Linked DNA regions of Coturnix japonica. The protein of the gene in region 2 binds, or shares a complex with, the protein of the main gene of each other region. Links are inferred from orthologs where the notes say so. Each region holds a gene or a part of one and is shown on either strand. Other genes may lie near its edges.

What was found.
Region 1: the proteins of CEP152 (region 2) and CEP63 are in contact, whole or in part, in a crystal structure (PDB 6CSU), measured with the Homo sapiens proteins. The link is inferred for Coturnix japonica from reciprocal best matches to the Homo sapiens genes CEP152 and CEP63. Residues at the interface, in NP_001181927.1 of Homo sapiens: Gly1261, Ala1262, Glu1265, Leu1266, Gln1269, Tyr1270, Lys1272, Ala1273, Lys1276, Ile1277, Asp1280, Met1281, Tyr1284, Glu1287, Ser1288, Arg1291, Ala1292, Met1295, Ala1298, Arg1302; in NP_001340037.1 of Homo sapiens: Phe666, Glu669, Glu670, Arg673, Ile677, Arg680, Leu681, His684, Glu687, Leu688, Glu691, Ser692, Thr695, Phe699.

The regions. Positions count from the first base shown.
Region 1 is NC_029524.1:2,641,952-2,649,918, reverse strand, and holds the start of CEP63 (centrosomal protein of 63 kDa), read right to left. Parts: upstream 5,055-7,967; 5' UTR 4,772-5,054; coding exon 4,728-4,771; intron 3,301-4,727; coding exon 3,120-3,300; intron 2,394-3,119; coding exon 2,298-2,393; intron 232-2,297; coding exon 106-231; intron 1-105. Other genes in the region: ANAPC13 (anaphase-promoting complex subunit 13), read left to right, coding at 5,161-5,259, 6,192-6,317; LIPH (lipase member H), read left to right, coding at 7,870-7,921. UniProt on the Homo sapiens protein: Required for normal spindle assembly.
Region 2 is NC_029525.1:9,160,973-9,168,332, reverse strand, and holds part of CEP152 (centrosomal protein of 152 kDa), read left to right. Parts: intron 1-146; coding exon 147-326; intron 327-908; coding exon 909-1,181; intron 1,182-1,628; coding exon 1,629-1,697; intron 1,698-2,001; coding exon 2,002-2,652; intron 2,653-3,613; coding exon 3,614-3,776; intron 3,777-4,968; coding exon 4,969-5,148; intron 5,149-5,557; coding exon 5,558-5,639; intron 5,640-5,722; coding exon 5,723-5,829; intron 5,830-5,982; coding exon 5,983-6,139; intron 6,140-6,425; coding exon 6,426-6,529; intron 6,530-6,766; coding exon 6,767-7,360. UniProt on the Homo sapiens protein: Necessary for centrosome duplication; the function also seems to involve CEP63, CDK5RAP2 and WDR62 through a stepwise assembled complex at the centrosome that recruits CDK2 required for centriole duplication.

The DNA.
Region 1 (7,967 bases), on a different chromosome or scaffold from region 2:
AGGATTCACAGTGCCCTTCCTAGTTGTCTGAATAGAGTCACCAGTGAAGCCCGAAAGGCAGTTCATCCATAAGAACCAATTAGCAGCTGCTTCCCCATGGCCCACCTCCAGCTTCCTGCTCAGTCGGCTCATTTCAACCTGGTCATCCCCTTGCCTCTTGTTGGCTTCTTCTCTTGCCTCTCTCAGCTGTTTCTTCTGCAGCTTCTCGTAGCTTCTCTTCAGCCTGGCCAACTGCAAGAATTCAGCAAGAGGGGCAACTTTGTTCAAGGCCAGCGGGCAGGAATTAAATAGCACATTGAAGGAAGGCAAACAAAATAGCTTCACGCAAACAATTCCCCCAATCAAGGCCACACAGCTTGCAAATGAAGATTTCTATTTGTATAATGAGCCTATTATACTGATAGGATCACAAAATACGCTGAGTGGTATAAGAGGAGCAGGATGCCACGCTTAAGTCGTGACATCAGCAGCTCCAATTAGACCTCTGTCTTATCACAATGAGAGCATGACTGAAATATCGATCAGATGGAGGTCTATATGTAGCTGTTAACATGGCACCTCCTCTCTCTACAGGCAGCCCCAGGACTCTGTAACAGCAGAAGAACCTGAGGTCCATCTCCTGGTGCCAACCACAGGGACAGTTCTACATTCTTAGAGGTTAAAGTGAAGCTCAGGTGAGGAGTGGAACTCTCCCGCTCGGCAGGAGGAGGAAGATTAGAGAACTGCCATTATACATAACATCAACACTACTTCATCTGTCATCCTCTGCTCAGATACACGACGTACTTCACAATAACTGGAAAATGCCAACAGAAAATAACACTCCTACGCCTACTGCTTGAATGCTGAACTCTTATCAGAAGCAAAAGTGAGGAGAAAACTGCTGACATTTAAGTGACCCTCTGTGCAAATCACCACTCGCAACTTGCACAGATTTCTCCATCTGATGAGCTCCCCAACTCAAGCATTTAAACAAGTTTCCAAATGGTCCCTATGAACCTCAGAAGACATCATTCCCGATTTGGGAACCCATGGAGAACTTATATCTGAATCAAGACCCCATGATTCGGATCCACACAGTGGTCAGGAAAGGTTCTCCAGGGTCCTGAGTCAGGAAGGTGCTTAAGCACATTCATTGAGAATGTGTTTTGCCAAATGAGTCAGCAGATTCCAAGCACTGGTTTATCCTTTCAGCAACCTCCATGAGGTGGACACTGTACCTGTAATTTTACTGGTGATGGTGGTAAACTGAGATAAAATCTATCTACCCAAACAGTACTAAAACAGACTAAGGAACACTGCAGCTTAATGCCATCTACATGGGTAAAACACCAGTGCAGTGCAGTTTTAACCACAAGACACACACTATATTCTAGCCATTGCAATATAGCCTGATCTGGCCAAAGCACCTTAGCCTTGCTCTGCAGCCTATCCACTATTTCAGCTGGAACATCTCCTGCTAATCACACTGAGCAGTAAGGTGTTGTAAATGAGGACAGATGCCTTCTGTCACCAAAGCTGAGGCTACCAAATTAATTTAAGTTATGGCTCACAGTGAGCATCAACCAAGCTGAACTCTCCGGGGAGAAAAGGTCAGTGCTCTGCTGGCTGCTCATGCCACTTAACTCAATGCTTCTGACAAGCAAGTGGAGACAGGCAGAACAAAGGCACCAACATGGAATGCTGCTGTTCCACCTGCAGGACACTGTGTGTGTACCACCCTGCATTGAACAAGGAGCTTGTCGAGATGGAAGCTCTGAAATCACTTCTTGCAAACTGATATGGTTTGAGAGAACACAGGTCCCGTCAAATAAAATCAGACTCAGTGGAAGCAAAATGATGATGAGGCTGCGTACTGATCTGATCTCAGTTTCTCCATACAATCAAGGCCGGTTCCACCACCACCCATTTTAATTTAAGGAAGTGCTGAAGGAGCAAACTGCTGCTGCCTGTACCCATAGCAACTTCCATATGAGGGCTGTGGTGACTATGATTGGCAAATACAGGAAGATTTTGCACTAAAACTCTGCAGATGTTTAACTCATGGAAATTGCAGCTTAGAACATGTTCTTATTCCTGCAGATTTCTTTGTCACCACGTTCCCCTGATGTGCCCAAAAGAGGGCCAGCAAAGCACAAAAACATCACTCTGAGCTCAGTGCTCTCTTCTGTAAGAGAAGAGAATGGGAAGCTTTAAAACCATGGCACTTAAGCAATGGCAATGATGCCAAACATTTCACCTACCTGGTCACATATCAACAGGGAATTAAAAACCGACCTTCTCCTTTTGAAACTCACCTCCTCTTGAAACTTCTTCAGCTGCTGCTCATATTCCCTAACCAAGTCCTGTTTGGCTGCTTCAGTGTCTTCCAGCTGCTGCCGCAACTTGCCAACCTGAACCAAGAATTACAAAGCAGATGAACTGAGACAGAGCACACTGTCAGCAAACAGAGGGATTAGTCTTCATTTCATAAGTATACACAGTAGTGGAAGTGGCAAAGGAATGTTAAGAGATCCCAGTTTTCTAAGCTGGGGTCAGTCCTTTTGAAACAAATTAAGCTTATGTCCACATCTCTGGTTGGATGGGATGAGAACAGTCTCAGATTTGGCCTCGTGTTTTCAAGCTGTGTCTGCCTTCCGCTGGCTGAGATGAAGCTGACACTTTTGCCTTGTGACAATGTCATTTTCATGTTCATTATAAGTATCCATTATGATTTCAAACTATCTATTAAGGGAAGAGATGGCAGTGCCATCCTCTTACCCCAGTGGGATGAAGCAGAGATGTCAAATAACACATGGACAAAGAAAGAAGCAGTGCTTTGAAACTCTTGGGAAAGGTTTCCCTTCTCTTGATCCAGATCTTCCCATTCCTCTTCCTTTCTCCCCTGACTCTTTTCCCTTTTCCCATCCACAATCACCTTCCTAACTGCAGGTCCAGAACACAGTGGGCCAATAAACAGGATTGGCGACCCTGCTCATAGCAGAGGGGTTGGAACTGGATGAGCATCGTGGGCCTTTGCAACCCAGGCCATTCTGTGATTCTACGAAACAGCAGAAAAAACTCAACTGAAATCTGATGAAACAAACAGAAACGCAGATCCACATTCAGCCTTTACGTACCTCTTTATGCTTTTCCTCCAGTGCAGCCCTGGCAGAGGAAAGTTCCTGCTCTCGAACACCCAAACAAGCTTCCAGAGCCTGGGTCTGTCCTTCCCATTCTGCCTTCTTGTGAGCCACCATGATGTCGATCTGCTTCATCAGCTCCTGCAGCTCAGCTTCGCAGGATGTCAGGAACCCACTGCTGGAAGGGACAGAGCTTCAGGTCACAAAGAGGAGCACAGAGGTCCCACATCCCCACAGTAGTGACACCAGTGACACCAGTGATTGGTGCGGAACATCGCTGGGCAGAGACCTAAACTTGGCAGTGACTAATGGGGCATGCTTTGGAAACCCCAGTCAGAGCACATGCAGTGTGTTTTGTTTTCTAATGTCACAGCAAGCCCCTATGACCACTGGTCCCTTTATCTTGGTACTACGCATTACCTAAATAAACCACAACTTATTCTGCCCATACTTTGCATTTCCCCTTAATGCTCTTTTATACCCCCTTTCAGTCACCAGAGAAACCTCTCAGCTCCCGAAAACAAAAGCATATCACAAATGCAGACAAACCCCTACGTTGGTTGGATGACAACATGATAATGAAGAATAAAACATCCCCAACCCATTGGGGAAAGCACGCTCCCTGGCGATGCCGCAGCTTCTAATTTGTGCAGTAATTATTGAAGCCAATTCAACCAAGCCCTGTAAAACTTCACAAGTGCTAAGCTAAGGACGGTATGAAGGCTTGCAAGATACAGCCCTGGAGGGCTGTGAACTCCATGATCATCTTCACCCATTTAATTTGACTGTCAAATGGAAGGCTCTGAAAAGGAACGGAAATCAATAGGTGAAGGGATTGAAATTTCCCTGCTCCCCCAGAGCATACATACCCAGCCTTCACAAGCTGACAGATCTTCTATAGGGAAAGAAGTAGCTCTCAGAGCAGCCAAAAGCAGTTAAATTGGATGTTCACCCCGGCCTGCGAGTTACCCAAAAATTAGCAGCTATTATGCACAGCAAGAACACCTCCTGCTCAGCATCTGCTGATACACAGCTATGTCTAGACTGCATTTATACAACCAGTTAACTGCAAAAGATACAGCACTGAGTCACCTCCTCAAAGACGGCAATGGAAATGGTGTCAGTGCCTTTAGTTTTGTGTTTGTTTGATAAATGAAGCCTTGTTATTCCATCTCCAAGCCCACAAGCCTTCACCTAAGGGTTCCTCAGGGTGTCTGCAGCTCCAGCACAAGCAGGAAGTAATCAGGTGCTCTCAGCATGTCTCATTAACCTCACCGGGCTCTTAAGAAAAGGATTTACTCACTCTTCTACTTAGCACCGCACTGCAAGGCAGGAGGGGGCTTTTTAAAGGGGAAAACAAAGGGATAACGTTCTTAGAGAGGCAAAATACAGACTGCAAGGCGCTGAGGGACCGCTGCAAAGTGCCGAAGCAGCCACGTCGCTGTGCGCTGCATCCATCCGCCTGCAGAAGGTACCGAGGGTCTCATTGACACCATGGGAGCTTGGCAGAAGAGTGGCAAGGAGCGTTAAGAGGGAAGCCCCGCGGTGAGGCTGTTGTAAAGGCCGGGCACACAGCGGTGCATACATACATACGTACATACATACCTCCCCTGGCCATTCCTCTGCATGCCTGCCAGCAGAGCCTCCATCACCCAGCGCCGGCGGGGTCAGCAGGGGGGAAACCACGCAAAGCAGCGGCCACCGCATCCACGGGCAGCGGGAGGGGAAAGGTGGGGGAAATAGAGGGGCAGCAGGAAGGGCAGAGACACGAAGTGACGGGGCAGAGAAATGGTTGGTTGTACGGAACAAGAAGGTACCGCACAGTGAGCGGACCGCACCGACCGCACCGAGCCCACCCGCAGGGCGCTGCCGGCCGGGGAGGGGAAGGAACGGAGGCGGCGGCGGGTGATGACGGTACAGCGGGCGCCGGAACATCGCTGCGGGATGGGGCGGAGCGCTGCCGGCAGAACCGAGCGCGTTGGGGCCGCTCGAGTCCCCGCGGGACGGGGCTGGTACGGAGCTACCTCGGAGGGTGAGGATGGACAGCGAGGTGCAGCGGGACGGCCGCATCCTGGACCTGATCGATGACGCGTGGAGGGAGGACAAGCTGCCGTACGAGGACGTGGCCATCCCGCTGGTAGGTGGAGCACAGAGCCACATCCAGCCCGGCCTTGAATGCCTGCAGGGATGAGGCATCCACTGCCTCCTTGGGCAACATGTTCAGTGCGTCACCACCCTCTGGGTGAGGATCCTCCCCTTCCCTGTTCGCACAGGTGTAAGCCGGCCAAAATCACGGCATCTGATAATGCCTGCAAAGAGACATTGCCAAATTGCAGTGACATCATTCAGCCCTTACAGCACAGTGTGGCATCACTCTTGGAAGAAGAGCAGCTCCTTCTCAGCAGAGGAGGCAGGAAGCAGCTGCCCTCCTCCAAAACCAATAATAACCAATGCAGCAACACGGGGAGCAAATAACACGAGGAAGTCAAATGAAATCGCATTTAAACTCTCCTTCCTCCCCCCTGCATGCTGAGCAGCTTGGTGTTGTATCTCCTGTTGTTACAGCACAGCCACAGCAGAGCTCCACATGCAGCAAGAGGAAGGATTTCTCACCTTGCCATAAGAAAGCGATATGTTACAAAGCCAGCTGTCTTAATAGAGCTACGGTAAATGCAGTATCTGTATTCTGGGCAGCAACAAAGAACCACAATCTAAACAAGCAATGGAATAATTGCACCGTGTTATTATTTACTTATTTTGCATTTTCTCTATATTCTCCTTCACTGCGTGTGCAGTCTGAGTACATAGCAAGGCCCCGGGGCCCTGGAAAGCCAATTTACCTTTCAGATGAAGCATCATAATCATATGAAAAGCACATTGTTCCTCCCTGGGCTCAGTAATATTTTAACTGAATCTGGATGTATGATATGTATTGTTCAGATGCCCCCTCCAGTCTCATTTGTGGATTTTTTTGTATTTATTCATAGGAAGTCTTCGTCACCAGCTCCTTTTTAGGCAGCTTGTTATGCACTGAATGCATTGTACCTTTTTTCTTCTTGTCGTTCTCAGAATGAGCTCCCTGAACCAGAGCAAGACAATGGAGGCACAACTGAGTCTGTGAAAGAGCAAGAAATGAAGTGGACGGATTTATCTCTGCAGTATCTCCATGAAAACGTCCCTCCCACAGGAAACTGATGAATCCGGGGGCATTTCACGACAAATTCTCTGTTAACTTATTCTTTACTTGGTGCCAATTCTGTTCTTAAGTGTTTTCTACACATGATAAAAAATGTGTTTTTTCACCATCTGGAGTTGTTCTTATATGTCAAAACTGGGGATGGGATGTTTGTGACCGTGGAGGTTTATGTCCCAAGAGGTATAACTGTGTTTTGTGTTAGAGTTCGCTGCCAGTGCTGACCACTGTATATTTACACGTTGTTTAAATGGTGCGATTTGTGCTCAAATGATGGTTACTCAAAATCCCTATTGGCTGAGCACGTTGGATGTTCTGTGAGGACATGGGCGCTGAGTAGGAGGATGCTTGGTTTGAGTGGCTGGGGCAGCCCCTGCCTGAGGAGTCAGCAGTGCCTGCTCTGAGCCAGCAGTGAGCTCATCTGAACAAGAAGGAGCTGCATGCAGCCAGCAGGCTGCTCAGGATTAACCCAAGCTTCATATGTACAGTATAGACCTTAGAAACAGCTACGCTGCTGGGAACTGTAATAGTTCAGCTCCTCGCTGTATCTCAGCAGGGGGCAAAACAGAGCTTGGGCTTAATGAGGTATTTCTGATCCTCCCCATGTTCCCTCTCCCTGCAAAGAAAACACTAGAAGCTGCGTGGTGGCTTTGTGTACCCAGCAGCCGTCTCTGTTCTCTCTTCCCTTCCCCTCTCTCACTCCATCACAGGCTCCATCCCCATCACACCAATTTTGCCACAGGATTTTCCAGCTCCAATTTCAGGCTTCCTTTCCCAGCCCTGATGGTTGTCTGTGCATCTGCCCACTTCTTACTGTCTAGCAAGGGGGGAAAAAAAGCCTTTCTCGCTTGAATTGGAGCTGAATTCACAAGGTTCCAGCAGGGCTATAAGAAAACATGGTGGGGATATGTCAGATGTGTGAGTGCTGTCCAAAACAGCAGCTCCTTGGCAGCACGTATTGAGTTGAACTGGGAACGTTGTCAGGACAAAGTGGTGCCCATCCAAATCATGAAGGACCTCACAGGTTAAAAGGGATGCTGGGCTTCCACCTGCTGGAGACAGACAGAGCGTGGGAGAACCAGAGGAACACGGATGGGAGTGTCCCAATGCTACCAATGTGGGTCCTGGGAAGCTGAGTGCTGGCCCTGCCCAGATACCGATCGGCTTTGCACACCTACGTCCTTCACTCCCTTTTGACACTCTTAGCAGAAGACGAACAGGCAGGCAGTAATTTCAACACAGGTAGTCAAAGTGCTGCTTACAGCGTGATACTGAACCGTTCCTGCCTTTGATTAGTCACAGCCCTGGGCAAACAATCTTTAAAACAAGGGATCCTGCTACAAGAGAAGGTGCCCCACCTTTTGAGAAAGAAGAGCTGGTTGTATAACTTCAGCCCCATCTTTATTTCTTGGCTGGGAACTTCCTCCTTTCACCACACCTACATTACTGGAAGAAAAAGACAGCAAACTGTTGTCAGAGGCAGCGAATACGTGCCAAAGAAACCGCGGGATCCGTAAGATTTTCTACCTCTACAAGTTCCATGTGGGAGCCCATATGCTGAGGCTGTGTGTCACGTTCCTCTGCCTTTTGTATGGGGTGAAAACAGGTAGGAAGTCAATTGCTTTGATTTTTTTGTTCAATATAATGCTTAC
Region 2 (7,360 bases):
CTCTTTCTGCAGCTACTCCTTTTCATGTAGTTGTCCTTCCCTAAAATGTTGGCTCCTAAAGATAGGTCATTCACTGGTAAAGGTTTGCTTTAACTGTTTTATTTTATTATTATTATTATTTTAATTACTGGTGTTTTTTGTTCTAGCTCAAGAAACAGCTTTTAGAAGAAAAAGAAGAGTCACTTAAAATTCTGAGAAGTGAGCTTGAGGAGAGATATAATAATTCTATGACTGAAGCAAAGAGGCAGTGGCAGAAAGAGAAAGAAGTGCAGATTGAGAAGGAAATTACAATTGTAAAAGCGTGCTGGGAAAAAGAAGAAAAAGAGGTGTGAAGCTGGGGATTTCAAGTTTTTGTTGATTTAACTGAATGAATTTATTTATTTTTTGGAAAAGGATTATATGTATATGTGGTAGTCTTATATATTGTTCTTCTGGCGTTTGAAGTGGTTGATGAGGGTCTGTTGTTTCAGACTCCTCTGAAGTCTGTAGGTTTTACAGCTGATTGTGATCTTTGGAAAATTAGGCTTTATAAAGTAATACTGCAGAATGTCATCACGGATGTAACATACTGAAGTTCTCTATCCTAATCAGAGGGTGAATAGTTTGGCTTTCTATTCTGTTGGGCTCTGTCCTACTATGGAAGTCCGTTTGCACATCTTTCCCCATGGAGGCTAGGTGGGAGAAGGAAGGAAAATAGACAACTCCTTCTATACCAAATGCATAGTGAAGGTGTAATTTGGAGGGTGCAGGAGGGGGGGTCAAGGGTGGGAATGTGGGGTCCAGCTAAGGGTTTAGGTTTTGATGCTCTTCAGCAATGCTTTGTTTGTTAAATACTATTGAAATTCTATTTCTAATTGAATGCTGCGGAAGAATGTCTTAAATCTATATAGATATATATTTTTTCCTAGAAGAGAGAAGACATCATTGCTAAGAGAGAAAGAGAATGGCAAAGTAGGCTGGAAGAAATTAAAAAAACTGTGTGTGAATGTAAGGACTGCGGCAGCCAAACAGATAGAGTAACGTGTGTGAGTGATGCTTCAACTGAAGAGTTAGCAAAGGTTGTTGAGGATCAGAAGCTGCAGATCCAGAAGGCTTTGAAGGAAAAAAAGGCCTCTGAAGAGGCCTTAAAAGAACTTGAAATAAAACTTGAAAGTAAATACCGTAAACGTCTTGCCAGCCAGGTAACAAATGATTATCCTGTTTGCCTGGATTTCATGTAACTCGTATGTGCTAATATGCTGAATGGGTCTAGTTACATGAACCACTGAGTCACCTTAACTTTTTTTTTTCCTTAGAAAATATGCTTTTCCTCTAATTTTCTTCAAGCTCAGTAGTTGATATTTCATATATTAGATATAAGAATTAGAATCATATAACTTTTTTCATAGCTCTGATTTTTTACTTAGCACTTGACCACAGCTGGTTGAGCTGTTCAGGACTTTTGAACATAACTGAGGAAAGTTACATTTTGTTTATATTGTTTTAATGGAAAGAAAATAGTTTAATCCTCATCATTTTGGAATCTTCTTTTGCATCTGGAAATCCATCAGATGCAGCTAGTCTGATTGTATTGCTTCCTTTAAACATAAGCAGTCCTAACTGAACTCTTGTTTTTAATCTGTTTATAGGTTGAGGCAGCTTTAACCCAAGCACGTGCCAGATCACTGCAGGAATTAACAGACCTCAAAGAGTACAAGGTAAATACAGAGACAGGACAAGAAAAGCAAACAAGGGAACAGAAAGAAACTGCAGCAGAGCTTGTAACAGAAAATAAGTGTCCTTCTGAATGGGATTTCCTGTCCTGTGTCCTGTGTCGAATGGGTGAATGAGTGTGTACAGGGAATCACTAAGGAATGATGTTTCTAATATAGTCTTACACTGATATTTTTTTTCTACTTTTGCATTAATGATGATGTTTTTATTAAAGGCTGTAGGAACTTATCAGTGAGCGGTAATGTTCTGTATATTTGATATAACGACTCTGTTTTACTTGTTAACCAGTTGGCTTTGGCTTTCTCTTCTGATGAAGAAAAAAGGAAGAATGAACGTGAGAATACAGAGAAGTCTGAATTGAGAATTAGAGATCTTGAGGAAAAGGTAGTTTCTCTCAAAAAAGAATTGGAGCTAAAAGAAGAAGAAATCCCTGTGACTATCAAAGCAGCAGTAGCAAAAGCCCGTGCTCAGTGGAACAAAGAAAAGCAAGAAGAAATTGCACAAATACAAGAGCAAAATGAGAGAGACTACCGATCATTCTTAGATGACCACAGAAACAAGATTAAAGAGGTACTTGCAACAACAAAGGAGGATCTTGCAAAGCAGGTGGATGATCTCTCTGCTCAGAAGGAGGCAGAAATGAAGATGTTACTAGACCAAAAGCAGCGAGAGTGGGAGGCTCAGGAAGCAAAGAGACTTCAGGATGAAATTAATCGGTATGAGGAGAAGACTGTGGTTGAGCTTGAGTGTTTGCTGAGAGAAGTCCATGAAGAGTTTGTTAATAGCACCTGTAGTCAACGTTCTTGGGAGGAGAGGTATTCTGATGCTCCTGTTGAATTAAATCATCAGTGCAAAGACAAACTGAAGGCACGTCTACAAAAGGCCTACAGAAGAACAGTTTATAAAATTCTGGCAAAGCATGAACAAGAGTGGAAAGAGGTAATGTTTCAGGGAATTATGAATAATGTGAGAAAACGGATGAATGATTCATACCTTTTTCCTTCTCACTATGTAATATTCGCTTGATCCAAAGAATTATAGAATCCATCAATTGCAGTCATTTGTAATGAGTCCTTTAGAACTGTCTGAGAGGGTGAGATCCATGGCCAGCAGTTTAAAGGATATGGCAAGGTACAGTTGTGAGACTCTGTGTCTGTAGTAGAAGACAACCAGGTTAGGAGTGAGATTTATTTTTTTTAATGCCCACATTGATTGGTTAAGGATGTACATCAATGGTCTTAAGTTAGGAGCATCTTAAAAACTCATAGTGGCTACTTAGGTATGTAGTCCTGTGATTCAGGAATTTCTTTCTGTGTGTCAGAGCAAACAGGCAAATAAATGGAGGTATTCCTCTGTCGTTCAGTGGAACCCAGAACTGTACAGTAGTGATTGGATATCACATTTCTATTGTTAACTCATCTTCAGGGATGCATGGCATACTTTTGGCTGGTCTTTTGACTTTCTGTGGAGGCAGTTAAAGCTAATTTTAAAATAATGCAAATTTAAGCGTGCATCTGATCTGATGCAGGATATTTGAAGCCCTGCCCATACTTTTTAGCTTCCTGGAATGATATCCATTGCTGTGCCTTCTGTAGACTTTTCAGTATTCTGTTCTGACTCAGCTGCTGTCTGTGAGTCAAACTCTGGGTGTTATCAGGTAGTGCTATTTCACAGGATTATGCTTAGTAACCATCCTCTATGCAAGAGTACTCATTTCCATTGCTGTTCAAGCTGCTTTCTTCAGTTCTAGTTCAAGACTAATACCGTTGGAATGCAAGAAACAGAGCCAATAGAGTTGTGTTGCTTGTTCATCTTCATCCTAGCTTTAATAAGTAGTATGCTGCAGAACATGGTGTTTGGCTCTTTGCTGGATTTTCAGACAGTGTTCTTTCAATTGCAGAAAACTGAAGAGCTACTGAATAATGCAAATAAAGAAGTGTGCCCCTGCATGCAGGGTGGCAGTGGAGAAACTGGGGACATGGCAAGATCTCCTTTGTCCAACCTTGGACAGCAAACAGAAACACAAAGAAGGCTGAGAAGGCATAAAAGTGGAACAGGTGGAGGTATGGAGTTTGTTTTCACTCTGTCAGAGCTGTATGTTATCTAACTAACCTTAATAGTAGCACTGAAGCTGCGAACATTTGAATGATAGAGGGAGATGCCGTTGTTCTGACGGTAAGGTTGTAGATGGGGGAACAGTTGCACCTGTGGTGATTGAAGGTTTGTATGCAAGCCAGTGCTGAGCCTGGTGAGCAGGGTGCAGACCAAATGGTGTCTTGGAGCAGGTAAGTATTAAAGCAGAGCTTTGAAGCCCCAAATCTCCTGCTTGCTGCAGCTGTCAGCCAATACAAGGAACCGTGCCTTTGCATCAAGGGCATTGTTATGTCAGGAATGATTCTTCAGCTGGCACAGTAGTTTTTCCAGTTCTTTTGTGGAGGAGTTCAGTTGCTGAGGAAATGTGAATCCCCTAGGCGATGCTTCTCTCCTCCTCCTCCCTGCTCCCATCTCCCTCCCAACCCTTGAAACGTGCTGATAGTTGTGCACTGTAGCTTTTCCCAAAGCAGTCCCATGCACCATAGCAAGAGTGGGGGCTGTGTAGCTCAGGAGGAACTTCATGGGAGGCACTGCAATGTCTCTGGGGCTTTCAGTTTAGTTTGAGTTGTTGTGCAACCAAAAAACATAAAGGGAGAAAGCCCAAGAGAGTCTTTGGCTTTGTGCCTATACCGCGGCTTGAATTTCTTCACCACCAAAATAACAAACCATCTATTAAATGCAAAACAATGCAGGCAGCGCAGCCCTTCTGCCTCTTGAGCTCCCTGTGCTGGCTATAGAAAGCAGCCGTTGCTCCCCTGGAAGTAGCCCAGTCTATGTAAATTTCTTAAGTTAACTCAATGCAGCCGCGTGTGAGTCTTCCCAGCTGGGTGAGTTTCCTTCAGCTGACTCCAGCAGGCCCTGTTTGGCTGTTGGCTTTAAACTGAATAAGTAAGGGGATAGATAAGTGGCAGTTCAACCTCCCAGTGTCGTATTGCTGCCTGTTTTGAGACCTCTGCATGTGACTGTTGATGGGAGCGTGCTGAGGCTGTGACTTGATTGGAGCTGCTGCAGGTTCTGTAAGTGGCATCCAGGCTCTTGTGATTACTTAAATTGGACTCATATACAGTATACTCCCTTAGCATAGGGTGGAAATAGCAAGGTTGGGTTTGATTCATTTGGGACCCTTGATTCATGAGTCACTTCTAGTGCTTGTTGTTTTAGATCAGCAAGGTGCAAAAAAGATCCTTTGGTCTCAGGAAGTTTTGTGTTGTGAACACTGTAGCCAGGAGCTGGAAAAGAAAGAGACTGTGTGCGAGGACTTGAAAAGAGAGTTGGAGACAGCTCGCAGGCGTCTTCATCTCTCAGTGAGGGAGCAGAGGGCAATGTCAGAGCAGGTCCAAGGTAAGGGTGGTGAATCAGAAAGGAAAGCTATGAATGTCTTGGCTGGACTGGCTGTGTTTATCTTCTTTCTTGCTTGATACAGTTTTCTGTGGATGTTATGGTATGTGCGCATGAGTACTTTAGCAAAATGAAATGGAAACCATTGTTTTCCTGGCTGTAAACTGGGTCTTTCCTTTGGGCCCCGCAAGTTTATGGTTTGCTCAGGCTAAGTCCTGTGGGTTCATTTACTTAAGCTTCTGCAAAATGTGCTGTTTGATTCCTTCCTGCTTGTCCCTGCCTTAGCTGATTGTTTACTGGTGTTACTTGTTGACATTAAGGTCTTCTACATTAAAGCAGTGATGTTTTATGTTGAGCTTTGCTTGAATGCTGGGAAGTACATTATTTTATGGTTCATTACTGGCTTTTCTAGAAAACGAGAAGCTTGTGGAATGTCTAATTGCAGAAAACACTGAGATGAAGGCTAAACTGAAAGACGTGGGCACATCACCGAGGTATTTCAAAAAACAGTGTAAACAAGGGCATGATTCTAAGATCTAGGCTGCTCTTATGCCATGTGACTTGTATGATTTTTCAGGTTGCTGTCCAAGGGAAGTGTCTCAAAAGCCTGTTCATCCTGTGGCTCTGTGAAAGGGCTGGAAGAAATGCGTGCTCAGTACATTAAATCTGTAAGCAAGATAAAAAGTAAGTACAGTGGGTGTGTGGCTGTGAGCAGGAGGTTGGCTGATAAATGTGGGCCCTCACTGCCTTGCTGCAGGTCTACTCAGCAGTCCTTTTGGTGGTGTTTCTCTCTCCCCTCTGTGTCAGAGCTGTCCCTAATGAAGGATGTTTCTGTAGGTGACATGCTGTGTTATATCCGTGAAAGTAAGGAGCGAGCTGCTGCGATGATTAAAGCAGAGGTTCTCAGAGAGCGCCAGGAGACGGCACGGAAAATGCGGAAGTACTACTTGACGTGTCTTCAACAGCTTCTTACTGACAATGGGAAACAGGAAGGGTAAGCTCCAGCATGAGTGGATATCTTTGGTTTTGAAAGAGTAATGTCAACTTGAGTATAACATTGTTTGTCCAATAGCACTGTTCATTCTATGTTGGCGCAAGTGTTACTCTGGCCTGATCTGATGAGACCGGTGTGGAGTTGCCGCTGAGCTTGCTGACAGAGGATTGCTGGGCTGTCTGACACCTTGTCCTCAGTATTCTTTGTCTTTTCTTGTTGTTACCTTTATGTAAAATGCCGCGTCTGGAGATCTTTAATTTTTGTTATGTTCTCTGGTTATCGGCAGAGCTGAAAAGAAAATAATGAACGCTGCCAGCAAGCTTGTTACAATGGCTAAAGGGCTGGAAACCCCTCTTCGACACACATTGCATTGCAAAACTACCCACTCAGGTGTGTTGGCTTATTTATCTGCTTCTTTACTGTGTAGATGTATATTGCTCTTAGTAACAAAAATGTAGGTGTCTAGGGAGGTACAAGGTATTTACGAGCTTGTGTATGGATTGGTAAACATAGGCTGCTTATTTTGAGAATGCTGATTGACCTATTTTTTAAATGGTCCATTATCTCTTCCCTCTTCCATTATTAATTTTGCTTTCATTTGGTCTGTTTTCTTCTCTGCTGTTCCAGCTCTGCTCTTAAATTCTGACCTGCCAACTGGAGTAGAATACTCAAAAAGAGATTGCCTGTCTCAGTCTAGGCCAAACCATAAGGAAAGCAAGTCTTGTGGCAAAAATACTACTGAAGAAGCTAATGATAAAGTTGGTCGGAAATACAAACCACGTGACTTGAGACAACAATTTGGTGCAAGACAGACTGAAACACCACACATGCTTCATGAAACAGATACTTCAAATGTTCAGAATAGGAATATTTATAAACATCTAGTTAATGATGGAAGAGATGGTCTGTCAAAGTTTCTTCCAAATGTAGATGGAAGAGAAGGAAAATACAGCCCCATCATAAACCTAGACAAAGAACTCTCATGTGCAACTGGTAATATTGCTCATCTGAATGTCCCTCAGTTTGCTTGTCAAGGACAGTTAGATAATATAGATGCAGCCAGACTTAAAAATGGCTCTGTCATCCCAGGGTCAACTCGTCACGTGCTTAAGAGTAAAAATGAGAGAACAGCCTTGAAAGAAGATGAGTGTATCCTCTCACTTGGGACCTGGCAAACTACATATGAAAGAATTCAGGACTTTGATTTTCAAAGCACTCCTC